Alligator mississippiensis: one gene and its partner. The protein of the gene in region 2 purifies or fractionates together with the protein of the main gene of each other region. This does not show direct contact. Links are inferred from orthologs where the notes say so. Each region holds a gene or a part of one and is shown on either strand. Other genes may lie near its edges.

What was found.
Region 1: the proteins of EMC1 (region 2) and TMED2 purify together in Homo sapiens (affinity purification with mass spectrometry; 3 studies listed by BioGRID and IntAct, with this or other methods). This does not show direct contact. The link is inferred for Alligator mississippiensis from reciprocal best matches to the Homo sapiens genes EMC1 and TMED2.

What each region holds. Positions count from the first base shown.
Region 1 is NC_081833.1:5,924,197-5,939,812, reverse strand, and holds the start of TMED2 (transmembrane emp24 domain-containing protein 2), read right to left. Parts: upstream 7,673-15,616; 5' UTR 7,621-7,672; coding exon 7,441-7,620; intron 5,721-7,440; coding exon 5,528-5,720; intron 2,895-5,527; coding exon 2,787-2,894; intron 1,068-2,786; coding exon 943-1,067; 3' UTR 1-942. UniProt on the Homo sapiens protein: Involved in vesicular protein trafficking. Mainly functions in the early secretory pathway but also in post-Golgi membranes.
Region 2 is NC_081836.1:4,886,908-4,902,063, forward strand, and holds the start of EMC1 (ER membrane protein complex subunit 1), read right to left. Parts: upstream 5,747-15,156; 5' UTR 5,717-5,746; coding exon 5,622-5,716; intron 4,038-5,621; coding exon 3,913-4,037; intron 3,274-3,912; coding exon 3,208-3,273; intron 2,701-3,207; coding exon 2,607-2,700; intron 1,996-2,606; coding exon 1,867-1,995; intron 1,176-1,866; coding exon 1,049-1,175; intron 559-1,048; coding exon 409-558; intron 1-408. Other genes in the region: MRTO4 (mRNA turnover protein 4 homolog), read left to right, coding at 5,860-5,887, 6,684-6,742, 7,322-7,425, 8,247-8,328, 9,577-9,644, 10,448-10,599, 11,389-11,465, 12,185-12,331; AKR7A2 (aflatoxin B1 aldehyde reductase member 2), read right to left, coding at 13,942-14,103, 14,626-14,755. UniProt on the Homo sapiens protein: Part of the endoplasmic reticulum membrane protein complex (EMC) that enables the energy-independent insertion into endoplasmic reticulum membranes of newly synthesized membrane proteins.

The DNA of each region.
Region 1 (15,616 bases), on a different chromosome or scaffold from region 2:
TACTTAGCATTATGCTAATTATGACCAGATGATGGCAAAGAATGCCACTTAAATTAAAATGTAAGGGCTGCATAGCATTGCAATATACCTTCAAGAACCATTAACCCTTTGGCATCAGGAACCCACATTTCCTGAGCACTAATGCATTCTGCACTAGTGCCAATAGTAAAAGCTTTGGACCTGAAAACACCAAGGGGCTAATAACTACGGTTTGCCAAGACACTGCACACAATTGGCTCTGCTAGTTAGAAACCTGTAAAAGACTAAAACCACATGATAACCGTCTGATAATAAGAGCAGAGAATGTATTGTAATATCAATTTCTTTAATTAAAAAAAATGTGGGGAACAAATCAGTGTAGTTAAGATAGTTACTGGTTTGGTTTTGTTTTTTTACAGTAACCAGGTATGCATACTATAGTGGAGTTCTCAGCTGTCTTCTATTCCTTATCAGAATAAAGTTCTGTTTCGTTTGCTCCTTCTTGGCAGTACATGGAAGCGAAGAGGGGTTTATTTTGATTCCATAACATCTACTGCGGAGTTAAAGATACGAAGAATGCAAATAGTCACGTTAGGGCCATGTACCGTTTCCCTAGACAGGATTGCAATGGATTATGAAAATAGAAAACACAAAAGTTAGAAAAGGACAGTAACATTGCTTATTACTACAGGAGAATTATAGCATTTGCAGTCTGTTGGACCTCGCTTAGCATACAGACTAGGCAGAGTTCAAGTGAAAAAAAAAATTATGCCAATTAAGTGACAAGAGATTTGAGCACAGCTTTTGCTACAGAAGATATATAAAACCATGTCATTTTAACTAGGAAGGAACTTAAGCAAGTTTTATAGTTCAGAAAAGAGGGTTTAGAAACTAAGTGACTTTTTTGTGACCAAGATGTTTTGGTAGACGGTGAATTGAGAATTTGGGATCAGAACAGTTTTCTTAAACAACTCTTCGGACTTCAAAAAACCTCTTCAGGTAGTAGATTTGTCCCAGTGTCATGGCAACTAGTACAAGGGCTTCAAAGAATGACCAGAGGACCACTCTGCTGTTTGTGTTGTCATTAACTGTTGGAAGAAAAGAAAAAGGAACAGAACAAGTATATGACTAAAACATTTAAAAAAGCCTGGTGTAGGACACTTCTCTAACGTCTACCAACCTTTAAAAGGCAGACATGAAAAAACACACTGGGAAGACTGTGACATGGTAGAAAAAGGTTAAATCCAACAGACATGTTTTGGGACTTCTATCATAAAACTGCAGCTACTGAAGGAATTAAGGCCAAAAAGTAGATGTAGTATTTGCCAATACAATGTCAGCTCTCATTTGATTCACACTGTTCAGAGGGCAGAAATTTTCAAGCTAAAACTCAAAATCACAAATTCCAGCATCTGCATAAGAACACCTACTAACAGACTTGCTCACGTTGTATGGCAGCTGTACCTAGTACCTTACTTCAGCTATATTCCTCTACCTTCTCCCTCACCTTCTAAACTAGGAATTACTTTTTTTTTTTTTTTTTTAACCTCAAGGTCAAGCTGGTATACCAATTCACTCTCTCAGGGACTAGTGTTTGCTCTACAGACTTAGTGTAGTTTCCAGTAATAATAATCATAGAAGAACAAGGGAAATATAGCCATCAACCAATAAAAGCTGGTTGGTATGCAAATGAATTAATGCATAATTTGCTGTAAATATCATGTCAAGAAGCTGTCACCTTCATGCAATTTGTAGACTGGTGTCATCTTGTAAAAACCAAGCACTTGCTGGCTTCATATTGTGTGACACATGATTTGCCTATTTAAAACATTCATAGTCATACAGCCTAATGTTATACCATCTAATTTCTATATCCTCTTAAAAAAGGGGGACAGGCACCATCACAAAGACAGCAAATGGTTAGGGCTCTCAGCAAAGTCATAATGCTTTTACAGTAATCACTGTTGTCTGCATAAAACACCAGGATACACTTTTGCTGCCTATGCAATTCTGAACATGGACTACAAGTGTCAAAACCAATGTACAGCATTGCAATAACAGAAGAATTTAACTGAGCTAATCTAAGCAATGCCCTCTCAAACTTACTCTTGATATTTTCCCCTAGCTTGTGCTTATGCTTTTCTTTGAAAATTCCTTCGCTAGGCAGTTCATAATCTCCCTGCACGAGGGGAAGTCTGTATAAATATACAGAGCATATTTACAAATTCAGCACTAATCCAAGTGGTGGAAAAATAGCTCCCTCTTTATTTGCGCCAGGCTTATTCTAATGCGTTCCTTAGCTTAGCGCTAGCAAAAGTGAAGACTGGATCATACCATGGCCCAAACCTAATTCACTGTACTTGTGAGTAGTAAGAATTTCACTATCAAAAGGACTACTCACAAAATAATTTGGCCAATTACAGTAAGCCCACTTTGCTGTGCTGTATTTCAAGGACAAACAGATACATCTGTCCAAACCCTTTCACCAGGAAATAGGTCACTTGTTTTCAGACCTTCAGGAACCTGCCATTGCTAACTATGAATAGTTCCTGCATTACCTTTCAGATGTTGCACCACAGGAGCAAATCCATTTTTTTTAATATTAAAGCACCTGATTTAGCAAGAAGGTCTCAATGTGTCATGATGATGTCTCTTTCATTAGCAAGAGGACGACCTTTTTCAGAACACTGTCAAACTCTCAAATACCTGAGGTAGTTTCTTGATTGTTTCCCTAAAGCTCAACATCTTCTACCATGCACAGCAGGTTAAAGGATTAAACAGCATGCAAATCAAACAGAAACACATACTTGCTCTATGTATTCTCTCGCGAACTTCCATGTATTCCTGTTCATGCTTTACAGCCGTCATGGCCACTGCTAACTCATTAATCATCTCTTCTAGCTTGTTCTGATGAGCTGCAGAATAATTCAAAAGGTGTCAGAGTTTGTATCATAGAGATCTCTCCTTCCCCCCCCCCCCCCCAAAAAAAAAAAACAAAAACAACAACCCTCCTCCTGAAAGTAGATGAACAGGTATATTTGACTCCATACTACACTCAGGGTCCCCCTACAGCAGAAAGCTTTCCACCTTGTAGCAAAAAGAATTCTGTAAAGATATCTGTTGACGCTAATGGGAATGATACTTCTATGAACCTTTAATATTCAAAGCATAGTTCGACCGATTTCAAACTATCTTTACAATCCTATTTTAAGTGGACCACTTTCTCCATGATGTCTAGCTTGGAGATGAGAGCAGAGGCAAGTGTTTTTAAAGTCAATACTGACAGGCTGTCCGTAGTACAGATACACTTCCAGAGAAGCAGAGTACAAAATTTAACCACATGGAATCAATTTAATATCATGCCAGTTAGTGCCTATCCCATAAAATTATCTTCAAATAAATAATACAGAATTTTAATGCTACCTTCCTGACAGCACAGTGACTGACAATTTAATTTAATTCAATTCATGATGGTGTCTAAACAAAATGAATTTCTGAAGATATACACTTGGCTACCTCTCTGACCTTTGTTTATAGTGGATACATGAGGTACAAGGACATTAGTGCTCAAGAAAAACCTCTGTCTTTTCAAATTCAGAACACTGGCTTTGGATGCTTCAGCAAGTGAAAGAATCAGGAGATCCAGGATTCAGGGGTTTACCTGGTCCACAGTCCAATTGTTACTTGCCTTCACTCCTCAGACTAACAGCCAACTCTATAAACATATAGACTGTGGAAACTTATATGAGAGTTTTCTAGCACCAAGAAGAGTTTCAGTTCACTGATTCAGAGGCTCTGAACTCCACTACTAACTATTAGAATAGCCTATAAGCAACGTATAGGACTTTTTTTGTTTTGTTTTTTGGGGTTTGTTTGTTGTTGTGGTTTTTTTTTTTGGGGGGGGGGGGGGGGGGGGGCCAGGAGGAAAGGAATACTTGACCCCAGGGAAAACATACACTGTTTCTGCATATAACGAGCAGAGACTTTAGATCCTACTTTAAACAGCTATATATAACTCCTTTCTCTCTCTCTCTCAACAAGAGAAGGATTACAACTGTTCAAAATCCACACTTCTTTAAGAAATAATGAAAAAAATTATACAAGTTATGAGCCATTTTCAAAAAAAAATCTTTATAAAATATAGCAATGCTAACCTTACAGTTATCCAGGTACACCACCCACTGCCAATTGGTTACTGAAATATGGGTAGCTTCTTATCAAGAGCGGAGATGAGAGAGGCCTGAGGAAGGGTACTGTGATACCCAAAAGCTTGTGTATGTCTATACCAAGCATACAGACATCATCCACAAGAACTCTTTACTCTATCAAATGTCTAAACAAGATGACAGATACTTACAGGCAAGCACTTCCCTTAAGCAAGAGAAACTAGCCTTGTATCAGTATTCTGTACAATAGGTGTGCCAGTCAGACTTGTGGGAATCCTTTAACTGTAACTTTTATGAATGAGAACATAGGCAATTAGGAAGTTGTTAAGTACTTGGTGGGGAGGGAGGTGGCAGGGGGCAAAAAAGCAAAACCAAGCTCTCACATCACACATGGGTTAAATATTTGCTAAAAGGGGTACTGAACTGCTAGAAATCTTCCAAATAATTTTACAATTCGATCTATTTACCTCAGAATTCAACTATCTCGTATGCCATACTCAACATTTTTCACTTGCAGGTTATGCATTAGCTGTAATATTACAAGGAAATTATTCTTCCAGCCCTGCATGCCCTTAATCCTCCAAACCCACTTTAATACCAGAAAACTAACAACTATGGCATATCTAAAGTAACTGAATGTTCAGTGTTTTAATTGAATTCCACTTTACACAAACTCCTGAGGATGTTTGTTTCCTTGATAGCCATAAATAACCCCCAGAAGACAAATGCTCATGAAGAGTTCCAGGGTCTTATCCCAAGAGATGCTGTTGACCTAAACCTCTCAAAGGAAGCTGCAGGTGTTCAGCATCACTCAGAATCAAACCTTACTTTTGTGTAGTTTAATAAAAAGACATTCTCATGCTACAAACAGATGTTAAAGAGAAAAAGCATAAGTTAGGTGTTAGTGAATAAATATATGCAAAAGACAAGATGCCAAGGAGCTTTCAAAAAGCTGTAAACATACCATCCCAGGTATCTCCACCACCTAGGGGAAAGTGTAAGAGATGAACACAAGTACAGGGCAAAAGGCTGCAGATAAAATAGTAATTTACATGGCTAAGAGAAAACTACATATTAGCACACTTATCCAAAGACCTCAACTCATGTACACAGTAATCTAGATACTGCTGAACGTGAACTGGAAATCAGAGAATGAAACTGAGGAAAAGACTTAAAGGTGAAAGCATTAGTTTCTGCACATAGCTGAGCGGTTCCCTGGTCACTTTAAGTTGCTTAGTGTAATCTAAAACACACTGTGATCCTTTTTAGCTGCCAACTTAATAGACTGAATGAATGTCTTGGCAGTCTGAGATCTCTAGCAGGTGTTTTGGACTGATGCACAAGGAAGTCAGAATCGTTTCCCTTCCAGAAGCTCTCCTCACCTTCTGTCTCCATGTCTTGCCCTTTTGGAGCTTCTCCAATATCAATAGTGAACATCACTATTTTAGGAGTCATGGTGGACATTCTGTTGCTGAAGCAAAACTTGTAAGTTCCATCCATGTGAGCAGCAAATGTGTATTTTCCACTGGATTCTCGATCCCCTTTGTAAATCCCTTTATTATCAGGTCCTGTAATCTGGGGGCAAAGAGATCATTTCAGGACAGGCGCACAATAGTGAAATCCTGAATTAAAAGGAAATAAAAGCAAACAAACTAAACTCAAGACATTCTCTCTAGATACTGCAATCCTAGATGATATTTCCCCAATCTGCATCAGAACCTCTCAGAAAACACCTATTTAAGAAGCTATGCGAATGCCTCTCTTAACAGCCAAGACATGCAAAACTCTTGCAGCACTAGCAAAAAAAATTTGTAGTCAGTCATAACTGAAGCTCCAGTCTATCTACAGCCTTGCAAGTTAGTAATGCAAATGACTGCAGAGAAAATACAGAAACCTTACGTCAGAAAAAAATACTTATTGTAATAAACCATTATCATTCTTAGGTGTATATTTCTATATTGTTGTAGAGAAATAGAACCAATGTACTGACAGCTACATCCTTAAGACTCTTGTCCCCAAAACTACAAGCACTGACCCCAGTTTCTTGTTACATGTTGTCTCCGATTTAAATTGGATTTGATAATTTTCTTCGCTTTCCTCTCCAAACTATGGTGTAATACTGCTACATGTTTTTTAAATACAAGTGTCATAAACTTCTGTCCATCCTGAGAGAGTACCGATTTGCGGTTGATGAAGCAATATCATTTGCAGGGGCAGTTGAAAAACATCCCATGAAAAGAATGTTTAGAGTCCATCAGACTCCAAAACAACGCGAGAGAAGCTTTTGTTGGGGGGAAAAAAAACCCCACAAAAAAGCCTACCGTTCAAAGGATGTCTGTCAAAACTGATTTCAAATTAGACTCCCATTCATGCCTCAAGAGAGAAAACCTTATGATCACCCAAACTAATCAGCACTATTGTACCAGAAGCAACCCCAGGCCGCATCCTCTGCTAACTTAAGCCTCATCTCCAGCACTTTCACAAGACGATTGCAGGGTTGAGCGTAGAAGCCAAGTTTTTAGAGAACTATTCTGTAAGCAACGTGACTGCACAGAGCTGCCCCCTCTCTCAGGGCTTCGACACCGCGACACAATAAAAGGCAGTTTGGCCTCGGGCTGCCTGCTCTGCAGAAGCAACTGAACCTTTCCTGCGGCTCGGGAGGCTCTAGTCACCAGCAGCCGCGCCGGATGATCCGACCCTGCTTCTGCCCAACAGGAATTCAGCCGACTGGCACGAACAAATACATAGAAATTGCAAGCAGGCCTCCACAGGGATCGCGCGAACATCCCAGCAGCCTTTGGATTCGCCTCGACTGCAGCCCCACGCTCTAACCTGCCGGCCCCCAACGAACCCGCCAGCAGGAGCGGCACCCGGCTCCTCAGCAACGTGCTCCAGGGGGCTGGCAAACTCCATCTCTCCTCCCGCTCTCCACACAACAGCCCTTTCCTTTCCACCTTGGAGCGATTCAGCAGCAGCGCACGGGCCTGATGCCCACAGGCCTCTTCGCACGTGGGCCCACCCCAGCCACTGAGCCGCTCTGTTGTGGAAGGGGGCACTCCTTATGCCGAGAGGCCTCTTTGCACGCGGGTCTCGGCCCCCACAGACGGCCGCGCCCCTCCCGCTCCTGGGGACACGTAGAGCACACAGCCGGGACGGGAGGGAGGGAGATGGCAGGGCAATAAGACGGGCGCCAAGCAGGGGGAACAAAGGAGCGCGCTACCCGGCGCCCACGGGCTCTCGAGCGAGTCCGGGGACCCGGCAGACGGCGCCCGGCGCCCCCCAGCCCGGCCCGCACCTCCACGTCGATGTCGAGGAAGCCGCCCTCGGCCACCTCGAAGATGAGCCCCATCTTGGTGCCGGACGGGACGCGCTCCAGGAAGCACTCCTCGGCGTGCGCGTCGATGCTCACGAAGTAGCCGGCCGCGGGGGCCGCCAGCGCGGCCAGCAGCGCCAGCAGCGCCCGCACCGGCGACATGGCGGAGCCCAGCGGGGACCGAGCGGCGGGACAGAAGGGAGGGGGAACTTCCGGCCCAGGCCGCGCCCCTTCCGGGCACGGGGCCGCCGCTCATAGGCCCGGGTGCAGCCGCTGCCACGTACGACACTACGCTACGGCAGCCGGCGAGGGACGCTGTGAAGAGGCGCTACCCGAGCGCGAGGCTGAGGGATTCCGTGCAGCGCAGGGGGCGGGGCGGTAGCCACGTGAGGACCGGACGGCGGGCAGAAGGGGCCAAACCGCGCAGCGCGGATTTAAAGGGCTCGTGCACTGAACAGCGCCACAAACTTGAGACTGGGCCCGGCCTCGAGGGCTCTGCAGTAGCAGACCCCTGGGCTGGGAGGTGTCGTCGGAGCTGGACCAGGTATGACCTCCTGAGGTCCTTTCCAACCCTCATTTTCTATGATTCTATAAAAAGACCCAAGCAGCTATCGAGTTAGTGCTTGAAAACATATAACAACTCCAGAGCTGGTTTCAACCCAGTTTTAATTTAAAGCTGTAACAAGGCCCTGTCTCTCCCTTGCTGGAGCAATGGAGAGAAGGAGAGGGTGAGCATCTGCTCACAGTAGCGACTTCTATTTTGTTGGCACTTCTGAATTCCACTTCTTAAGAGGAAGATAATGAAACAACAATAGTCACAAAATAAGAAAGGAACAAAAGACTGTGCAAGTTTTTGTTGTTCTTGAAAGGCTCTAATACAACAACGTGATGAGACCAAGTTCCCAAATACATAAATGGGGAGTGGCCAAAGAACCCATGCGATCAGGAACTGCATGGAGTTAAGCTTTCCCTAGCAACTTGCATGTTTCTGCTGAAACTTGTATGCTGTTTTGCCTGCATTTTATAACTAATGGAAATGAGAATATTTGCCGCCTATCACTGAAGGTGTAGTGAAGCTCAGTGTCAGCCAGTGACCGCCAACAAGGGTCTAATGCCGCAATTTCCAGCTTGGGTGCTGCACTACCCGGGGGGGCCACCAGATACCTTGAAGGTGCCTCCAGGTGTGAGGAGATAAGCACAAACTGAGCCTTGCCCCTGCCCTATCCCTACTGCCTGGGCCTTCAGCAGGGAGGTGAGGACTGTAATATATAAATTGATTGTTTAAATTTGGAATTAACAAGTTATTGAAAGTGCCTTGAGATCAGTGAGGCTGAAAACCAGTTCTCTATTTGCATGAATCCTCCATGGAAAGTGTGTAGAACTGGCTGCATTTGTTACGCAAGTTGCAGACTGGGGCTGTCGGTGCACATCGAATAGAAAATTAATTGAGAGCTTGATGTGCCTGCCCTGTGACAGGTCACCCAGAGCCCCTTGATACAATTAAATTACTTTACCTGATCTTAGTAGGCTTTGGATCCAGCCCTAATATGCATTGTTTCCACAGTCATTAGTGTGAACTAGTGAGGTTCTACTACACTTTTGCCACACAGCTGGGTACGGTCCCCAATTACCACCAGCCTATTCTGTTTGCTACTTTTCTCCCTCTGCAAGGATGCACATCAAGGTTGGGCAGCCCTTTCACACTGACTCTGGGTTTGGCACCCCCCTGCCCCTTCCAACCCCTTGGGTTTCTTTATCCCAGATATACTCATTTCTGAGATGCCCTGGTATTGCCTTCCATGTGGTCTTACATTACTATTGCTTTTCATGCCTTCATAAGCACTATATTCATGGAAGCGATGACTGCGCTGTTATTCACTCTCATGCATTTTCTAGGCTGTATTGGGTCTTATCTTTTCCAATAAAATGTTAATGAACATACACTGTGGAAGTGGATTTCTGATGAATAGTCTAGATGGAGTTTTTTTGTTACTCTTGTCATGCAAAGAAGTAGGCTGTCAAATCATTTGGGACTGTTTTCTTTGAGATACACATGTATGGGGAAGTTGGGTGATTTTACCACTCGTGATGGGACATAACGTGATGCTGATAACATGGAATGAATCAGTTTATTTGCTTATCGGACTTCATTTATGTCCAAACCCTGCAGTGTTTGGATGTAAATCATGGGGACAAAAGAGTGGAAGAGGCCTCCCAGGCCACTGAGTCCAGGCTCTTGCATCCACAGGTAACTATTAGTTCCAAAGAGTCCCCAGGAACATCTGCTGCAGCTCTTTTGATGTACTGCAGTCTCAGAGTACCCCCAAACCCCCAGCTCTGATGGCCTACAGGTAAAGAACTGGGGAAGAAAAGAATGCAAATAATTTCCCATAGTACTGAGGAAAGCAAAAACCCTATGTTCCAACTCCATCTGAAAATACCTTCCTGATGAGCTTGGATAATTGGTTTGGACAGACATGCCACTAGACTTCAAACTATCTATTCCTCTCAGGCTGATCATACATGCACATAAAATGCTGACTATCATCTAGAAGCGGTAACTCACACCCTTTCTTTTAAACTCTTCCCCCCCCCCCAATCCTATCCCATTGTTTTTGCATTTTGCCCCACCCTTTTACCATGAAGTGTAAGAAATAAGTGGCAGTGTGATGTTTGGTTTAAGCTCTAAAGCATTCGATACACTATTAGGGGCACTGTAATGTTCACACAGTTGCAAGCTAAAAAAAATTATTAACAAGTCTGCTGTTATGTACACACATCCATATAATTGAGAAAATGAAGAGAAAATTACCTCCAGATTAGATTAGATTCTTACTGCTAATGTTAGTAAGATTACTCGGGGGATTATGTTGTGGTATTTGACAGCTTAGACCCAAAAGGGAATAAAAAAGCATGGATTAATCCAGCAAGAGAAGGAAAGCATTTTCAACCAGGGGGTCGGGGCACCCTTGGATGCCAACAAAACCTCTTAAGAGTCCCCCCAAGACGTGAGGCGATAAACAAGGCGTAAGGAGATAAAGAGAGGCTAAGTCAATGAACCCAGGCCTGCCTGAATACCTTCCACCCTTCTGCGAGTAGGTGAGCATTGATTGTAATGTATAAATCAGTTTCTGAAACTGGGTGCTACTCAGTTCACAAAAGTCATGGATGGTATCTCAAGGGGGCATCTCTCATTGCACAAGTCCAGAAAGGTTGAGACCCAATGTTCTAGTATGCATAAAGACCTCGCGACTGTTGACAGTGGATTTATGACCCAGTCCTGATATCTTGTTCTGGGCAGACCCAAAGCCTCAGACCAACTACAACTTCTTCCATTCAATAATAGGCAAATTTTATTGATACACAGTGATAGCAGATAAGAGTAGTGTAAGCAAAGCAAACAAAATACACCCCCACCCTAGTTCTACTTATCTACCAGTCCTGAGGATGTCACACAGGAAAAGTAAAGTATATCTGGCTAATACACAAACACTACCCTGTGGTTTTAGCTTGAAGTATGCCAGATATCAGCAGCCTAGAGGTCGAAGGCTGATGACCACTCCCCACAATGGGGTGGGTGAAACGGGCTAGTGGTGTGCCATCTGCACATGGTGGCCTCAGGATCACTCCTTCTGTATTCTCTCTCCTCTGATGACTCTTCATTTCTGGGTATCGTCGGTTGGTTTCCCTGTGGTCGTCATACTATCCACGTTCTGTTCTGCCAGTATAATTATTTGGTTCCACAAACCCATCATATGCATACAACCTTAATTTGGTCATTTACCCGTGTCTTAATTTGGGCAACCCCAACCTAGTTTGGTAAGTCCACCAAAAACAGAATTCCCAGGGGTTTTATAGCTGGGCACTATACCCTGGCGCCAATGCAGCAAGCCTATCTTTTGTTATGGAACAGTTTGGATGTTCTTAAATTCCCAGGATGCATACACCTGCTTGTCCATTGGCCCTTGGACACGGTATCTGCCCTGAAGGCTATGAAACTGTCACAAACAGGCTTTTAGAAACCAATTAACCTTTGCCAATTAAGCCTGAACCACTGTTCCAATGCAATACCTACTCTAGCTACAAGCTAGTTCCTAAAAACTAATCTCTATCATTTTCTAGTCATCACTGACTGCCACAGATGCCCTTGTGCTTCCTGGTACAAAACTGGAACCTAAAAAAATTGACAGCAGCAATTAAGCAGGTGGTGTTCCGATACCATAACCCACTATATCTCATTGTCTTTGTTGTCAGAGAAAGTTGGCTGTTTGGCATAGGGACCATCTTGCTCTGTGCTATTAATAGTCCCCAGCACACTGAAATTCTAATTTATGGCTAGGGCTCTTACTTCTCATCCAACGCCTCCTGTGCTAACACAAATAGTAGTGGCAAATACTTGAGAACTTTTTCAGGCAATACATAGTTAACTTACAGAATTCATTGTCACAGGAGGTGGAGGCAGGTAGCATAGCCAGGTTCAAAGGAGGACTGGATAAATTCACAGATGATAGGGGATAGATCACTCTACAGAATTGGGTTCAATACTCTCCCTCTAAAGCATCTATTTCTGTCACTGTCAGAGATGGGATACTGGGCTAGATGGACCATTGGTCTGACCCACTATGGCACTTGGGTTCTGACACTACACATCCACTAAACTACTACCCACCAGGACCCAGCGACAGAAATGGTCTCATCCAGAAACACTCACTTAAGAGATGGGCCCTGATCCTGCCTGTACACAAGTTCTTTACTTGGACTGTCTTCTTCAAATTATTACCTAGATGTTTACCCAAGACAGGGCTGAAGTATTTTCTTATCCACCAACTAGGAAGTGACTAGTAACAACAAAAAGCTTGCTGTGACAGAGCATCAGTTATGCCCTGCCACGAGAGACTAAAAACAAGCAGATTCCATGGAACAAGGAGTCTCTGCCTGCTAAGCTACTTACCAAGGCAGGGTTTGGAGCTCCAGACTAGTTACCAGGGCTAGCTGTGGTGTGGAAAAGTGGCAGACCAGAAGTTATGCTGATAGGCTTAAGCAGCAAGGAGAGTTGAACGGTGGATCGGGCAAGTATGCGTTTTCCCCAGAGAAGGGAAGCAGGCAGGAGTGAGTCTCCTACAACTGCACGGAGCTGCAGTGTCTACCTGGCCAGACCAAGATGGCAGCAAGTAGAAGAGGGAAGATCTGACTTACCTGGCGTGAGACTGAATGCAAGACGGTTCCTCAGCATCCAAAGGGGATTCTTAGTGGTAACTGAAGGTGCTTCGGGAGAGTTACCTGGAGGAGGGAAGAAAACAGGGCACAGATAAGAGCCGACCCTGTGACCAAGGAATTCCCTGCCAGTATGCAGATAATTAAGGGCCAGAGGCACCGGGGACCTCATGGGTTGAGTCCTTTTCTGCAGCTGAGAAGGTGGGAATAAAAGGGAAGAACCTCAAACCCAGGGGAATAGCAAAGAAACCTGAATAAGAGGGGTACCAAGACCAGTAAGGATGGCATTTGGTCAAGAAGTGATTCATTTTAGATGTGGTGTGGCAGGGCATAACCTTGTTTTTTTTAGAGGCTAAAAAACAAGCACATGCCACAGAATGGAGAGTCTCTGCACGCTAAGATACTTACCAAGGTGGGGTCTGGAGCTCCGGACTCTAATTACCAGTGCCGGCTCGTGACATGGAGAAGCGACAAACAGGAAGTTATGCTGATAGGCTCAAACAGCCAGGCGAGTTAAATGCCAGGTTGGGCAGGCTTGTGTTTTTCCTAGAGGGGGGAAGCTGGCAGGGGCGAGTCTCCTGCAACTGCACAGAGGTGCAGTGCCTACCTGGCCAGACCGACACCGCAGCAAGTAGAAGAGCAAAGATTTGACTTGCCTGGTGTGAAACTGAATGCAAGAGGGTTCCTCTGCATCTGATGGGGATTTTTAGTGGCGAGCGAAGGCGCTTTGGGAGAATTACCTGAAGGATGAAAGAAAGCAGGGCACAGATAAGGGCCAACCCTGAGAAGAAGGAATACCCTCTGAGTATGGAGCTAATTAAGGGCCAGAGGCACCAGGGATATTGATGGGTAACTAACGGTGCCAGCTGATACCCCGAGAGCCCTATCGCCCATGAGTTAAGTCGTGGAATATTTGCCTAGAACGAATTCAGAGTACTCTGGGAAATACAAGGGAATAAGCAATATTGCGACTTACTAGACTGTGAAGGCCCTTTGGGAGGGTGTGTCCTATCACTGGCTACGCCTGCCATTTCAGACACCAAAGACTGAGCTAGAATCTCTCATTAAGAGCGTAAACAAGGTCCTCAGTGAAGAAGGCACCTGGGAGAGACTGGGCCAGAAATGTTAAACAGAAGAGTAACAGAACTGGTGGACCAGGAGCAAATGGATTGTAGATTTGGGCAACTAAAGGGGCTCCAAAAACCCATGGTGCATGCAGGTGAAAACTGGCTCCATGATTATGCCAGCACTTTGATTCAGGATGCGCAAAACTATGATTAGGGAAGGAATAATTGATCCGTGGGAGGGTGAAACAGGCAGGTTGAGCAGGCGTATGTCTTCCCCGGAGAGGGGAAGCAGGCAGGGGCAAATCTCCTACCACTGCACGGAGGTGCAGTGCCTACCTGGCCGGACCAAGATAGCAGCAAGTAGAAGAATGAAGAGTTGACTTACCTGGCGTTGGACGGAATGCAAGAGGGTTCCTCAGAATCCAAAAGGGATTCTTAGTGGTGAGTGAAGGCGCTTGAGGAGAATTACCTGGAGGAGGAAGAAAACAGGGCTGAGTTAGAGTATCTGATTAAGAGCATAAACAAGGTCCTTGATGAAGAACACCTAGGATGTTAAGGCCAGGGTATGGGGATGGAGGAGCCCTGCAAAGAGGCCAAATGCCAGATAAGTTGCAGTAAGATCAAGCTGATCTACCTCCTCAGTTTTACATCTTTCTTTTTGTTTTTTGGTTTAGTTGGGGGGGATGTTGTTGACAACAAGGCATGGCGGGTAAGTTCCAGAAAGGGAGACTATCAAGTCCTGGCAGACTGACCGCAACATTTGAACATCAGAAGCCAGATCTTCTACAATTGTGTATGTCTATATCAACCATATAGATCTCATCCACAAGAATTCTTTACTCTAATGTCTAAACAAGCTGAAAGGTACTCACAGGCAAGCGCTCCCCTTCAACAAGAGAACCCAGCCTTGTATCAGTATTCTGCACAATAAGTGTGACAGCCAGACTTGAGGGAATCCTTTAACTGTACGTTTATGTTCTCATCAACAAAAGTATTAGGAAACTTAAGTGGGGGGGGGAGGGGGGGAAGAAACCATGCTCTCACATCACATGTGGGTTAAATATTTGCTAAAAATAGGTACTGAACTAGTAGGGATTTTCTAAGTAATATTATGATTTGATCTATTTACCACAGAATTCAACTACCTAGTGTAACACACTCAACATTTCTTATTTATAGGTCATGCATTAGCTGTAATGTAATAAGGAAGTGATTCCTCCACCCTTGCATGCTCTCCAAACCCACTTCAATTACAGAAAACTAACAACTATGGCATATCTAAAGTTACTGAACGTTCAGCATTTTAGCTGAAATCCACTTTAACCAGCCAACTCAATGGACTGAACAGGTCTTGGAATTCTGCAATCTCTAGCAGGCGTTTTGAACTGACATGCTAGGAGAGCAAAACGATTTCCCTTCCAGAAGCTCTCCTCACCTTCTGTCTCTGTGTCTTGCCCTTGTGGTGTGGAGCTTTTCCAATATCAATAGTGAAGTTCGCTATCTTAGGAATCAGGGTAACTCCGATTTTGTTGCTGAAACAAACAGTAAATGTGTAGTTTCCATCGGATTCTCTTTCAACTTTGTAAATCACTTGATTATCAGGTCTTATAATCTGGAGGCAAAAAGATAATATCACAACAGGCACACAATAGTGAAATCATAAATTACAAAATAAATAAGGAGAAGCAAACGAACTAAAGTCAAGACATTCCCTCTAGACACTACAATCCTAAATGACATTTTTCTTCCAATTTGCATCATAACTCAGAAAACGCCTATTTAAGAAGCTATGTGAATGCCTTTCTATCAACCAAGATGTGCAAAACTCTTGCACTCGCAAAAAAAATTGTATTGAGGTCATAACTGAAGCTTTAGTC
Region 2 (15,156 bases):
GCAATCCAAGCTTTACAAAGAGTTAGGCCAGTGGTTCTGAATCTACCATGGCCCAATGACCTACCATTGAGGTAGACTACATCAGGCTATAGGTAGAGGCACAGTGAGGACCTCTGGAGTGTCTATAAGGTTCCCAACTGACACTGCAGGAAGGACCAGTTCCCATGACAAGACATCACAGGAAAAGTTGAAGAACTAAAAACATGGGCACAGAAACTACCATTAGATAGAGAGGATGCGATCTCTTCTCCCTCCACCAAATTATTCTGGTATGTATTAAAGTCTCCTCCCCCAGTACACACACACGCTGGACACTCCTGAAATTGGTGACCCTGACTTTGGTACTCTGGATTGGCTAAGTGAACCTCAAGTAAGCTGTGCGTGGAAGACTATTTGAGGGTGGCTTACCTGTAGCGGGATTTGTTTCATCTCGTGTTCAGTCTCCAGAGATAGAGCATAGAGTGAATGTGTATCGGTGTCCACACACACCAGCACTGCCTCCCCTATGACATTACAGGCACCACTCAGGCTCTTCATCCAGGGGGCTGAAACTCTTATCTGTTGGGCAAGAAAGATATGGCAGGTTTGCAAACCTACAAAGAAATTCCAAGGGGAAACTTGGCTGTGTCAGTTTGCTTCCATCTTGCTGGATAGCACGCGGTCCATGGCTTAGTGTGCACGTCAACACTTGTCTTAGTTACGCCAATAAAAGCCAACATAAAAAACCAGAAGAATTTAATTTATCAACCAAGAGTGCATCATTTTAACCTGTAACTCAAGGAGAAATTGTCATCAATCTGACACCGAAACCTAACTGCTCTCAACTTTGCCGTGAGTCCACCAAACTTTGAAGACATGCAGTTGTAAATTCAGCTTCTGGGTCCCCATGCTATTCCATGGGGAGAGGATAACATCTCATCCATGTATCATCAACAGAGTTAAACTTCCCTAGCTACCGTGCTAAAGATGAGAGTACTTTTGGTACACAGGACCCATTCTAGAGCCAATATGGTGACAAGAGTTCCCATCCTGAATCAACAAAATCTACCTGTTTTGAAATGTCTCCATCCTCCAGGCTGAAGGTCAGAATGTTCAAATGGCTTCGAGGAACAAATCCAATGGAATATATCACCCCGGTTCCATAGGAATACAACAGCTGGTACTGGGCGCTCTCACTGTGAGAAAAGCAGCAGCAACAAATCACGTTGTACAGCACTCAAACCTGTGCTTAAAGCTCCCTGTTCTACAGCCCTGTTCAATGTTGACATAAGCCTCACAAGGAAAGACTGTGTAAACCACCAAAAATGTAGTCAACCAGAAAAATTCTTCACATTGACACAAACATGCCTTAGGAATTCCTTTTCCTCAGTTTTATGTTCCAGTGCCCCATATAGTAGGCCCCGACATTCTGACTGGAAGCTGCTATGGTGCAAAGTGGCTTGCTATAGTCAATACAGTTCTTTTATTAGTAGCTTCCTGCTCCTGACTGATTTCTGTTCCACTGCCCTAAGATACTACATGACTGCTCTCTCGAGTCTGTAAGTACTGTATTATGCACAAATCACAACACCCATAGTTTATAATCTGCCAGCACTAAAAAGCCAGCAAAAAGAAATGTGCCCATTCATTTTGATGCACTAGCCCCCACTTCCCTCCCGATATTAGGCAGATGGACACTCTCTTCATACAGTCCCTCTCTCGAGATCTATATGCTCACAGAGATATAACAGGAGAAGGAACAAACCCCTACATTTGGTTGATGACATACATGCACAGTTAAAAAAGCACACAGGTACCACAGTAGAAAACAGGCTCTGAACCAGTGATCTGTATGTGATCCTCAAGTACTTTGTTTCAGATTTTTACCTTTCTGGTAAATGCTCCGCCCATTTCTGGTGTCCATTGGAAAGGTAATGAAGAGAGAGGGCAGACTTCTTCAGGACAGCCACGTACTTCGCCACATCCTGCAGACCTACTAAACTAGCCACCTGGAAACTAAGCACATATCAGAAATGGGGAGTGAAGTGATGAACACAGAGATACTACCTAGCTCCTGGAGCCATAGCAACCACTAAGTAACAGAAAACAGCCATCTTCTTCCCCACCACAGTAGCTATGACCAACATTTTTCCCCCCCAAAAAATAGCTACCCTCCATTCTGTACAGTTGACAGTGTAGAACTTTAACAGACAGCTCTCTAGAGATAGACACTATGGACTGATTTCAAAGTGATTTCAATCACAGTTTCAATCAACAAGCAGGAAACTCTAATCTAACTCAGGGTTTTAATTGTGTCTTGCATCTGACAAGCCCAGATACAAAATCTTTAGCCTCATTTTGATGTAGATTTAAAAAAAAAAAAAAAAGGCAGTTCACTCTCCTGCCAAGATTCCCTCCTCTTCAAGCTGGTCAGCAGCAAGAACTATACCAGGTTACTACAGGGTCAAGTATTAAACTTCCTTTTAACAACAAACTGCAAATTCAGCAGCCCTCCAATAATCCCTCGGGTGTCATATTAGCGACATTTGAGCTACTTTCCTTAAAATATACCTACAGGGAAAGCAAATTTCCCCTTCTGAATTAACGGTCTACTCAAGAGTTCCCACCTGCCAGTGTCCAGTGATGTTTCCCAGTTCAGTCCTCCAATGTTTGTCTCCCAGGAACGCAGAATACGCCCACCATTGGACACAGTAATGGCATCTGGAATTGGCATGAGAACAACCCTATTACTGTTTTGTTGACTTCATTAACTATTTCATTGCTAATTCTACAAATTACTGTTCTACTCACACCAGAAGGACAGTACAACACATCTGGCATATGCAGTTACCCAACTGTCAGCTGGTCAGCTGCACAGCAGTGAGGGTGGTCACGATGTAATTTCCAGACAATGCTGTGTGTTGTAAGTCACTTTATTCCTGGCACTAAAGGCCCAGGGGGATGAGCACAAATCATAAAAAACATTTTGTGTAGCTGTAGTCCTAGCCTGCACCACATGGCAAATCCAACACAGCAGAGCAGTAAGAAATAATGCTCATCCACACAGAAGAGGAAAGGCCAAGAAGTAAGTACACATTAACAACGTCTGTCCCCACCACAGGATCAAAGCCATGAGCTCTAGCACATTTAGCCCTGTATCGAATCCTCAGTTATAATTCTGTAAAACCAAACACGTGTCACACTGGAAGGCCTAAATGCTTTGCTTACCCTGTCCATGGATCAGCATGGCATCTATAGCTCCTTCAGGAGTCCCTTTATCCACATGGCGCCACACTGAAAGAAACAAGGCATCAAGTAAGAACAAGCTTCCATCTCCCCACGCGTACATTAGAATCGCCTCCATCTCCTTTCCAATGTCATGCTGATAAAAGGTACCAGGTGACAGTGCTACAGACTGACAACATCTGTTCAACCACAGAGCAGGTACAACATGAGCAACACCAACACAAACTTTCACATAACTGCCTCTGAAATGTGCCTCATCTGTAACCTGGAAGAATAAGTCTGAGGGATGAAAGAGAGGAGTTCAAATGTCATGCCCCATTTAGTTTTTGGTCCCACTATGTTGGTTAAGAACAGATCTAGATATAAGCAAAGGCACAGACATGCCATATCAGCATCTAATCAATTGATATTTGAAGATGGGAAACAAAGCCCCTGGGCATGAAAAAAATAAAACTGACAAATGCAGAGAGAGAAACATGCAGGCTCCTGTCTCTAGAAAAGCTAAAGCCATGTCTCATTCACCACATTTACCACTTAATTCATGTTAAGAGGGGTAAAGTTCAAGCTTTGAAACAAACTGTAATTTTTCAATTTGAATATCTATCATGGCTTAATTTTGGCCCCACATGTGCTAGTTGCAATGTGAGGTAGTAAACAGCCTAACATGTAAAGCCATGCTCCACTCACAGATTTCTCCATTTCTGGAATTCAAAGCAGCCATCACGTTTTTCTCCGTTGCCACAATAAGCTTCTTGGACCCTTGCGAGGCTTCCAAGGAGGCAAACTTGAGCTTTCCCACATACTGCTGTCTCCTAAGGAAGAAAAGATTCAGTAAAGGTGTAAGAAACAAAAAGAACGTATTGCACGAACCCCCTTCTTGGGGGCCTTCAAGAGGAGGCTGGATAGATATCTGGCTGGGGTATTATGATCCCTACACTCGTTCCTGCAGGGGGTCGGACTTGATGATCTGTTCAGGTCCCTTCTGACCCTAGAAACTGTGAATAGGAAAAGGATGATAAAAATTAGAGTACAGGTACTCCTCACTTATTGTTGTTCCGTTATTACGTTGCTGATCTATTAGGGAACATACTCGTTTAAAGTCGCGCAATGTTCAGTTATAGCGTTGTTTGGTTGCCGCCTGCTAACAGGTAACTACCGTGACGTAACTGGACTCGTTTAAAGTCGCATAGTTCAAGAGCGTAAGTACGACGTTAAGCGAGGAGCACCTGTACATGACTATAACACAAAAGACAGGGCAATCACGAATGCCATTGATGAGGACTGGCAGAGAGCAAGCAGACCGATTTCCTTCTTAGTTGTGGGGTGGAGAAAATCACTTCAGAGAGAAGCTGAACTCTGACGGCCTGGGACTCGATGCCAAACCCAATTCTACAGAAGTTCAGACTGAGCTAGAGTGACAGTTCAGACTTGAAAGACTTCAGGTACCCCTTGGAAAATGCAAGCTTTGTTTTTGGGTTTTCTTTGGGGTTTTTGTTTTGTTTTTTTAATACAGAAAAATTATAGAGCAATTCTTCTGTTGCAAAAACTCAGAAAAACCACAACGGGTCGGACTCCTTTTAACGCTATGAATCCCTGCGCTAAATCCCTGGGTTCACCTCGCGGATCGTGTTTGCACCCCTAACAGCACTGATATTGTGCAGCACCCCATGGCACCCTTTTCTGTCCTCACCGAATATTTCAGTTGAAATACTCGTGGCTATTGGGACATAACATTAACATGAGGGTACTTTTTAATTATATATTTTTTTGTCCTCATTGAATATTTCAGTTGAAATACTCACGGCTATTGGGACATAACATTAACAGGGGGGTACTTTTTAATTATATTTTTTGGCCCCACTGAATATTTCAGTTGACATACGTACTTGCGGCTATTGGGACATACCATTAACACAAGGGTACTTTTTAATTTTATGTTTTTATTCTCACTGAATATTTCACTTAAATCCTTGTGGCTAAATGGGACATAAAATGAACCTTTTTATGTCCCAACAGCCACAAGGATTTGATTGGGGCGGGGGGGGGGGGGGGGGAATTAAATGCACCACACTTAATGGGGTTGAAATATTATATTCAAACAAATGCCAAGCTTTTATGTGGAAAGAAATTATTTTTTCTATAATAAGGTCACACTAGCGTGTCCTTCCTTTACACTGTTTGCTTAAATTGAAGGAAAACAACCCAAAACAACGGCAGTGAACCCTGTCCCGCGGGCGTCACACCGTGCCAGCCTCCACTCGTGGTAGCGAGGCGTGTTGTGAGGCGAGGGCCGCTTACAAATGGATAATGAAGCGCTGGGAAACTGCCTCCCCACGTGTGTGCCGGGGGTGGCTGGTCCAAGCGCCCCCCAGCCCGTGTCCCGTGTCCGCACGCACCAGTCAAACTTGCCCACTTGGTCCTCGTACACGGCAGCCACCACCAGCGGCGACAGCAGCAGAAGCGGCACCCACAGGCGCGCACCGCCCGCCATGACGGCCCGCCGCGATCCCGGCAGCCCCCGCGGCGCCGGAAGCCGGAAGCGGGCGCCGCTCAGGCACCTGAGCGGGCAACCCCCGCGGACTCCCAGCAGCCCCCGCGGCGGAGGGGTCCTGGCGGCGGCGCAACGTGCGAGCCATGCCCAAGTCCAAGCGTGACAAGAAGGGTGAGTACCCCCCGCACCGCACCGCACCCACGTTGCGTTGAAGCGCGTTAGGAGCCGGCCACCCGCGTATTAGGGGGTAGGGGGGGACAACACTGGGTTGTATTCCTCGTTGTATCCCGCTTTGATTGATTGGGAGTGTGGCCAGGCCATGCTTCAACATGAGATCGGTGGGTTCATCGCAGCATAAGCGTGACGTCTGTCAGGGAGCCCCCCGGGAAAACCAGTCCGAAGCTTTCCCACGTAGGCGGTGCTGCGGCCGCCTGTGCGCTGTGTGAAAGCCCCTACCTCGGCGAGGTGCTCTCAGCCAGCTCCCGGCAAAATCCCCTTTCAGCGGCGATCGTGATGATAATTATTGTCATCATTTTCGGGCCCCCCCTTCTGTCCGGGTGAGACGACGTTCCGGTTTTGTGCTACCCTGTCCTCTCTTGATACGAAACCCCGGCGCCTTGATGTCTTCTGTTTTTCTCTTGAAGAATGAGAACACGTTTTTCTCTTCGAGACACAAACGGATGACATCAAGGCGTTCGGTTTCGTATCGACGGAGGACCGCCGGCCTGTCCTCTTTGACGGTCATGCCAGGGTCCAGGTGCCTGAGTCCAGCCTTAGGGACGCCCCGACCCTAAAACCTTGCGAACGGTCAGCAGGACACGGCTGTGGTGAGACTGAATCAAAACCGTCAGTGTCAGGTTGATGTCTAAGCGCCCTGTGTCCACTAGTGCACTTTGTAGTCCTGTTTCACGTAAGCAGCAGCCAGCTTATCGCTTCTACTGACGCAGGTTTTCTTTTCTTTTCCCAGTTTCCTTGACAAAAACCACAAAGAAAGGTTTAGAAGCCAAACAGAACTTAATAGAAGAGGTAAGAGCGCACGTCCGAGGAGCTGGGTGTGAATTCCTGGTGTGTGTTACAGAGAAACACAACCTTACCATCTTCCCTGGTACTGACTTCTACCAGGGTCCAAGCTGTGGAGTTAATGTATGGGTTCAGTTTAATATTTATGGGTTCAGTTTAATGTCTGATACATCTTCAATGGGAGGACGTTAAAGTCCAGAATATCTGATACATCCTCGATGTGAGGAGTTTATATGAAATGGATTTTTGGGGCTGGGACGTAGACTCGGAACTTGCTCCATCCACGCCACGAAAAGAAAATTATGGGTTCTCTCATATATTTTGGGAAATCCTATGTTTATACGGTTGTTTAATGCAGAGTCTGATAGTTTCCCAGTTGAACAGTTCAAATGAGGAAAGCTCACATTAAAAAAAAAAGTTGTATCATTACCAGTACCTGCTGGGGGACGGGGGGTTAGCAATGTGTGTATAAAATCCTAAATACTGCTTCTACCCCATTATCTTTATGCTGATTATGTGTATTGGTGTGAAGTGGGAAATCTTCTTCCACTGTTCATAGCAACTGCATGTCGTGCTTTCTTACAGCTGCGGAAATGTGTGGATACCTACAGATACGTCTTTATTTTCTCTGTTGCCAACATGAGAAACAACAAGCTAAAAGACATCAGAACTGCCTGGAAACACAGCAGGTAAGGAGCAGTTTCTCAAATGTCTTCCCTTGTGATTGATGCTTCTGCATGTTGCATTCTAAGTTTGCGCAGAGCTTAAGCGGGTTTCTGTACATAATTCAGGGGCAGGGACAGAGGCATGGGCTGCATGTGGTGCTTGTGCCAGGCAGGCCCAGCATGCTGGACCCAGACTGGACTGGATCGGGCCCATAAACTGGCTTCACGCACACTGTTTATAGTACATGACCTGGACCAGCTCCACAGGCTCTATGCGAGGCGGGGGCAGGTGCATGCTGCATACTGTGCCTGGGGATGGAGCTGGCACATGCGGTGCAAATGGGAAGCGTTGCCAATCCAGGGCACACACAGCAGGTGGGCTGGATCCAGCTAGATGAGTTTGACACCCCAGCTATAAAATATTTAATTTGGTACCATGTGACATTTTGATTTCAGTGTTAGCACTACACAATACCAAGAAAGTATGTAATATGTGTATGTTAAAAACCAGCCAGCTGACATCTCGGTGGGAATGGCCACTAAATGGAGATGTGTCTAGTGGAGTCCCACAGGAATAAGTACTGGGTTTGATTGGAAAAGATGCAGAGAACCATAAAAATTATTTAAAGGTCAGATAAAGTGTGTGTCATTCAGGAAAGGACTCTTGTTTTCTTGAAATTTGTTACAATAGGAGAAGTCTCGACACTCCCTTTCCATTTAGCAATATCAGAAAGGAAGACAGTTGTGACTTAGATAAAGAATGCTTATCTTGATCCATGATTAATTATCTCTGGTGTACTGAGATATGGAGTCTTGCAGTTTAGTTTACTTTTTTTTTTTTAAAGGATATTTTTTGGAAAAAATAAAGTCATGATGGTGGCCCTGGGCCGAGGTCCAGCTGATGAGTACAAGGAGAACTTGCACAAGGTAGGTTCTGACTCCTGGAGTTTTTGCACTTGTGTTTCGGAAGTAACCTCTGCTTTGTGTAAACCTCTAAGAGGGAAATGCTAGAACTGCTGTAAACAACCAGACTGGATCGGTATTTTTCCATCTGCCATAAATAGGGTTAATAATTAGATGGGAAGATCTTTAGGGCAGGGACTGTCTGCTCCATGTTTGTTCAGCACCTAGGGAAGTGAGTCTGTTACTGGGACACCTACGTGCTACCAGAAGAATAATACTACAAAGTCAGCCTTTCATTAATTTGTTGCATCTTCAGTTGAGTGAACTTTGACCTGGAAACTTTGGGATGATATGGCCCCATTTCCAGTCTGGGCAACCTCTGATACTAGCTGCCACCTAGTATAGCTCCACTCGCTATACATCAGTTTGAGTGCAGCGAAGGATTTATCCTTCGGTGTACATAAGGACAAGTGCACGAAGATGAAACAGGAATTCCCTTTCCCAGCCCCAGGACACTGAATAGGGTGCCAGGCTCATAGGATGTTCAGTCGGGAGACATTCCTTAATAGTACTATAGCAACTCTATCCTGTGTAATCCTTTTGCAGCAAAAATAAGAAGACTGTCCCATGGGAACTACAGAGACCCCCTATGATAGACAGGCTTTCAATTTTGTTAGTCCTGTTGCTGAACCAGGACTGGAACTGGTTCTGGGAATCTTCCCAGCATCCAGTATTCAAGCTTTAAAAAAATGTGGTGTCTCAACCCCGTGGAATTCTGCAGTTTGAAAAATTAAACTTGGATGCTAAGAGCCCCAACATGAGAGTAGATCTTAGTGACTTCCCAAAATCAGGTTCTCATACTTTTCCTTATGGACCTCCCAGGGAGCTTGATTTCCATCCAATCCCCCAACCCAATGATTCACAACCCTTTCTCTCCTCTCATGACTTAACAATCATCCTTCACAGCCTACTATGGGTATGTTCTTCTAAAGCGTGGCTTTCCTCAACCAGGGGAGAAGTTTCCTCTCAGGAGGAAAATTCATGCAATCATATCCTTAATTTAACCGTCCCAACATCAATCGCCCTGCAGAGGAATGCAAGAAACTTTAGGATTGTTTAGTTGCTATCTGCATATGGGAGGGTAGGGCCCTCTGTGATTTATACAAGCTCTGTCAAGTTCCACCACAGCCTGGATATATTCTTTTGTTTTGAAGGGTCTTTGGCACTGCTCATAAATATACTGCTGTATTTCATGTGGCTCTCATTTTCCAGATCAGCAAATATCTGCGAGGTGAAGTTGGTCTCCTTTTTACCAATCGTACCACAAATGAAGTGAATGAGTAAGTATTACTGCAGGCAAACTGAGCCTAATGACAGAGGGTCTTCATTTTACTGGGAATATGACTGTTAATAAAGCATCTTGATAGAGAATTAAAGTGCAGACCAAGAGCCTCTTCCCTCTCAGTGAAATGAAAGCTATTGTTGGGCAGCTGATCTCTAGTTCATCTTGGTGTAGATCTCACTCTTAGCCTTCAGGACATTTTCAAACAGCAGCAAGGCACCAGAGTCCTACCTCTGATAACAGAGAGAAGTGCAAACTGTCTTCCGGTGTTGTCTGACTGCAGAGGAGACAACATGGAAGCAGATAATCTGGCCTGTCATTCACTCCAGCCGGACTATACAGAGGAATCTGTTAGGGAATTATTGTGAACTCTGCTGGGAAGGGATGAGTTTCTTTAATGATGTTTTAGGGAACCTTGCGAATTTGCTCCCTACAAAGCTATTTTTTCCATCAAAAACAGGTGGAATATCAACAAACTCAGTTACCACACCCTTCTCTCCCTCCATCACTAACTCCCCAAAAAAATAGAAGGCTCTGCCCTCAGAGCCTTCTATAAACTAACAAAGAGCTAGAGGCTCAGGCAATAATTCTTAAAGCAATTTGCTCTCTTACGTGGAAGGCATGTGGTGCCACAGTGGTGAACATCAGTAGAAAACCATAATGAGGTGCTGCTTTTGCTCTGTCTTTGCTTCTTGGGGGTAGAGGAGGTACTAGTCCAGACTGATTCTTCCCACGTGAGACTTTAGTGAGTGGTGACTTCACAGACAGCTAATGCTCTTGCTCCCTGGTTTTCTCTCCTAGATGGTTCTCAGAGTTCAAAGAGATGGACTTTGCCCGTGCAGGTAACAAAGCACCATACACAGTGAGTCTGGACACAGGGCCCCTGGAGCAATTTCCCCACTCCATGGAGCCTCAGTTACGACAGCTGGGACTGCCAACTGCTTTGAAGAAAGGTATTTGGGGCAGGGGCCTTGCAGTTAGTCTACCCTTACTGAATTTTCCTTTAAACCTTGGTAGCATTTCTGTACGTGTCTTATACACGTGGGGTCTCACAAGGAGAACTAGACAACAGAAGCAGATGTTCCGTGGGGAACATCTGATATAAGTCCCCTTTAATTTCATATTTGTTTTTATATCATAACCTTCTGGCATGGGTGAGTCCAGGCACCTGACAAAGGCTCCATTCGCAAGGTGCTTTTCTTTTTCAAGCCAGTTGGCTGGTGACAACCTGACCTGACCTACAGATAACAAGGATTTCTCAACTGGAAAATAACATTTGTGTCATGCTATGTCTTTGCAAAAAATAACACATGGAGTATTTTGTTGATTTCCCTCCTCCAAATTCCTTTGGTAGAAACAGGCTGAACTGATATTTGCATGAAAATGAGTAAGCCATGAACAAGACTTCAGGCACTTGTTTCACATCTGTCATTTTCTGACTACATAACAATAGATCAATCACAGGGTTCACCTTTGTCTGTGACAGACTAGTTTCAAGAATTAATCTATTTAAAGCAGGCCTCGATCAAAATCAAACCAGTTTTGAAGGACAGAGGGAAAAATCAGAATAAATGGTAAACTTAAGTAAGAACCATCACTGAAACTGCTGGATGAAAGCGAGTGCAAGTAGCTTCATTACAATGTTGGTAGCAAAAGTCCCGGATAGGAAGTTTCAAGTGACCTCAGTGGTCCTCTGCCTCAAGTGCCATTCATCCCACCTTCCTTTTTCCATGTTCTTGCAGGAGTGGTGACACTGCTTTCAGATTATGAAGTCTGTAAGGAGGGGGATGTCCTGACTCCTGAACAGGCTCGTCTGTTGGTGAGTAACATACTTCCAGCACATCTGCACAGCTGCCATTCAGCAAAAGTCAGCATTTGTCATTATACTATCCACTAAAAGTCCTGCTCTGAATGCCAGGTTGGTTTGGATATGAAGATAAATTCTGTACCTTGAAGCCATTTGGGCTCAAGTGACATGAGTGCAGTTATGTAGGGACCAATCAGGATGTCGGGTAGCTACTGTTTGTTACAGCTTGATATGCTTTCTAAAAACCGTTTGCCCCGTAAGCAACAATGCTTGACAGGGAATTAATGACCTGCTTGAAAAACTGATAATCCAAGGGACAACTGTGGGAGCCCAGCTGCTGACTAATGTTCAAGAGGCAAGTTATTGCTTCTTTGTAAAAACAGAGGAAAATTACTAGGTTCAAGTTCCCTATATGGCCAGGGTATTGCTAAATGAGTTGTGCATAACAGCTGACCTCATTCCTAGACCCTAACCTTCACACTGTAGTCAGCTTACAGCAGGAATTATGGGAACAGCAATAAAAGTACTTACCATGTAGCAAATGGACAAAGAAAACTATCTGCATATAGGTGATTGTTGTAGTTCATTTGCCAACATGCCTCTCCAAAAGTGAGCCTTTTAATTCCTACCTCACTCACCATCCCTATTTAAAAGTGGCTTCTACTATAAGTGTACAATTTAGGCACAAGGAGACTAGAACAATTAGTGATGATTTCCTGTTTCTTTTTTAGAAACTGTTTGGCTATGAGATGTCAGAGTTTAAAGTGACCATCAAATGCATGTGGAACTCTGAGACAGGAGACTTTCAGCAGCTGGCCAAAGACACAGAAGAACCAGAGGAAATGGAGGAAGAGGAGGAGGATGATGACGATGACTAGCAGCAAGGCTACTGAAGGACACTAGAGACAGTGTTGTTCTGTTTTAGGGACGATCAGTAGAAGCCTATGTTTCTCTCCCAGTTGGAGCAGGATGAAATTGAATATCTCGGACTTGTTATCTATCACGGAAGATGTAATTAAATTGTATATAAAAAATTACAGTTTGGACACTTTCAGTGCAGCTCATCACTGCTTGGATGGGAAACCCTGAGGCTGAGAGAGAGACCTTACAGAATCTGAGAACAGGGTAAAGATCATGTGGAAAATGAAACCCTTCCCTATAAATCTATTTTTCAGACTCAGTGAGTATGTGCACAAATCTACATTGCTACAATTTTTCCTCCTCGGAGAACTGCTTAGAACTTGTTGCTATGCAGTAGAGATGCAACTTCTCTCTAGAGTCACCCCGTAAGTCTATCAGTTTTAATGGGGGAAGATGCCAAACAGCTGTCACCACTATAGTTTCTCCCTGCTCCATCTCTCAGGCTATTTTAATTACACTTTCTCAAATGACTTGGTTTCCTTATTTTAGAGAGAAGGAAAATTATTTAAAACTGTAGGCAGTGGAATAAATGTTACTATTGAGGCAGAAGGGGAGGACATCATTTTGATGATACTATCACCTGACTTAATTATAATTAATGCATTTCACACATTAAGGGAACCTGGGCATAACTCCAGCCTTTACTGGTGGCATGCTGACAATTCAAAATGCCCCTCTAGGCAAGATAAAGTTAGTATTTCCCTCTTAAGCCAGGACCTCAGCCTAATGTCCAAATATCTTCCCAGTAGAATTGGGAGAAGACAATGGTATACAGCCATTAGTTACTGAACAAATGTAATGGTTCCTGTGCTTGAGTCTCCCGACAACAAAACAAAGATTGTTCCTTCAGTTATGCTCTTAAACATGTTTTAAGACGCCTGTAGCTGAGGCAGCAAGTATGTCAGCTAAACCCAGCTTCAAGAGGCCTAATTAATTGTTTAAAGGTCAGCCCTGATCGTTGAGAGGCTTGCTAAGTGTCACAGCTGGATTGGAAACAGAGGGCAACTGTGCATGTCCAGTAGCTATAACTGAAAATTAAATTAGCAGTTAGCAAAAAATAGCTTTCAGCAAACCTTCAATACAAAATTCACTATTAAACCAACATAATCCAGGTTAGAAAATGCTTTATTTTGACAGCGAAGACGCTGTCCAGATTGGAGACAGACAGTTAATTTCCACTTTAGTTCTCTTAACTGGTTTAGGATCCGTTCCTTAAATTACTTATATCACTGAATCATGATATGGTGTGTGATTGATTAGGACTGGCAAGAGCTGCAGTATTAAGAGATATTCAAGGCATTTTGGCCTTGAAAGAGGAAAAAAAGGTCAGACACTGTTGTGGTCCGTGAACTGAATACCACCAGTGTTCAGACAAGCTAGATTATGATCACATAAAAGATCTAATCATGTAGGAAAAAAACACTCGGCAGCACCAGGTGTCTATCAGGCAGAACCCATAGGACCAGGCCGGAAAAATCATCTGTCATTTTGGGAGGGGCGATGTGGTTTCAGACCTGGAGAGACTTTTGGTTACCACTCCCCGTGCAGACTTTCCTACCACCATGATCTAGCGGAAGTAGTTGGGACAATCATGTGCAACGAGGTGCCAAGCTTTATCAAATGCTTCCACCACAGCTGGGAGTAGAGGGCCCTCTTCACTGCAAGTGAGGTTCTGCTGCAGCTGATCTATGTTGGACATCCCAATAATGACTGCATCTCCCGCATCCCCCTGCAGTGAGAAGGGAGAAGTTACCTTGAAGGAAACCTAAGTTGCCTCCCCAGCTGCATGTTGTGCCTAGGAGAATGAGGCTTACTACACTCCTACTAACGAAGCCAAGGCTCAGTAGGCTGCTACTGCTGCCTACAAGTCTCACCACCGTCAAAGGCAGCTGCTTTACGCTCCTTAAGTGGCCAGCAGTGGCTGGGGGAAGCAAATCCAGCCATTACATTCCTGGCCACATGAAAGAGGCAACTTGGCACCTCCTGGGAAAGCGGCTAGTTGAGAAACCAAAACTAGAAAAGCTGATAATAGCATCTTCCTTTGACCAATCCCCTAGAGACATGATATAGCAGGAAGGACAACCCCCTGGCCGGAGGGGTATGGTTCTTTTTGAAATGTCCAAAGCTAGTATGTGGGTTAAGATGTGACCACACTGTTGATATGTTGCAATTGGAAAATGTAGGATTTCCAACTGTAGGATTCTGTTTCTATTGCACACACCAACTGTCTGCATTAAAGCCAAGCAGTTACCTTAAGTTGAGAGTGATTGTAGATCCAGCGTAAAGCAGCTGAGGTGAGACTGGGCGGGTCAGCCCCATACGCCTCCTTAAGAGCTTTCTCTACTAGGGCAATGGCTTCAAAATGGTGCTTTTTCCAGTACCTGCGTTATAAGATATCAAAGTCAGTACCTCTATTTCAGGTTTTGTCTTATGGGGCTGGATCTGTGTAAGAGAAGAGGGGGGGCATCTCCAGACAATCACAGAGAGTCTTGGACCAACAGAACCCTAGTGACTTGTATTACCCATGTGGATTTTATTCTTGATTCCCCAAGGCAGCCTCCCCAAGGTACTGCAGTCAGAGGTTAACAAGCTTAACCCTACCAGCCAAGGCTTTGGAACCAATGGCCAGTTCTCTCTGGTGCAGAATGTAAGTTTTTCTCAGCTAACAGAATAAACTGTGTTGTGACAACAGCCAACTCATACCCTGCATCCTTTTTCACAACTAGGCCATTACTGCACTTACAGGCAGAAGTGAGGTTAGGCAGCAACTGCCTTACTGCAA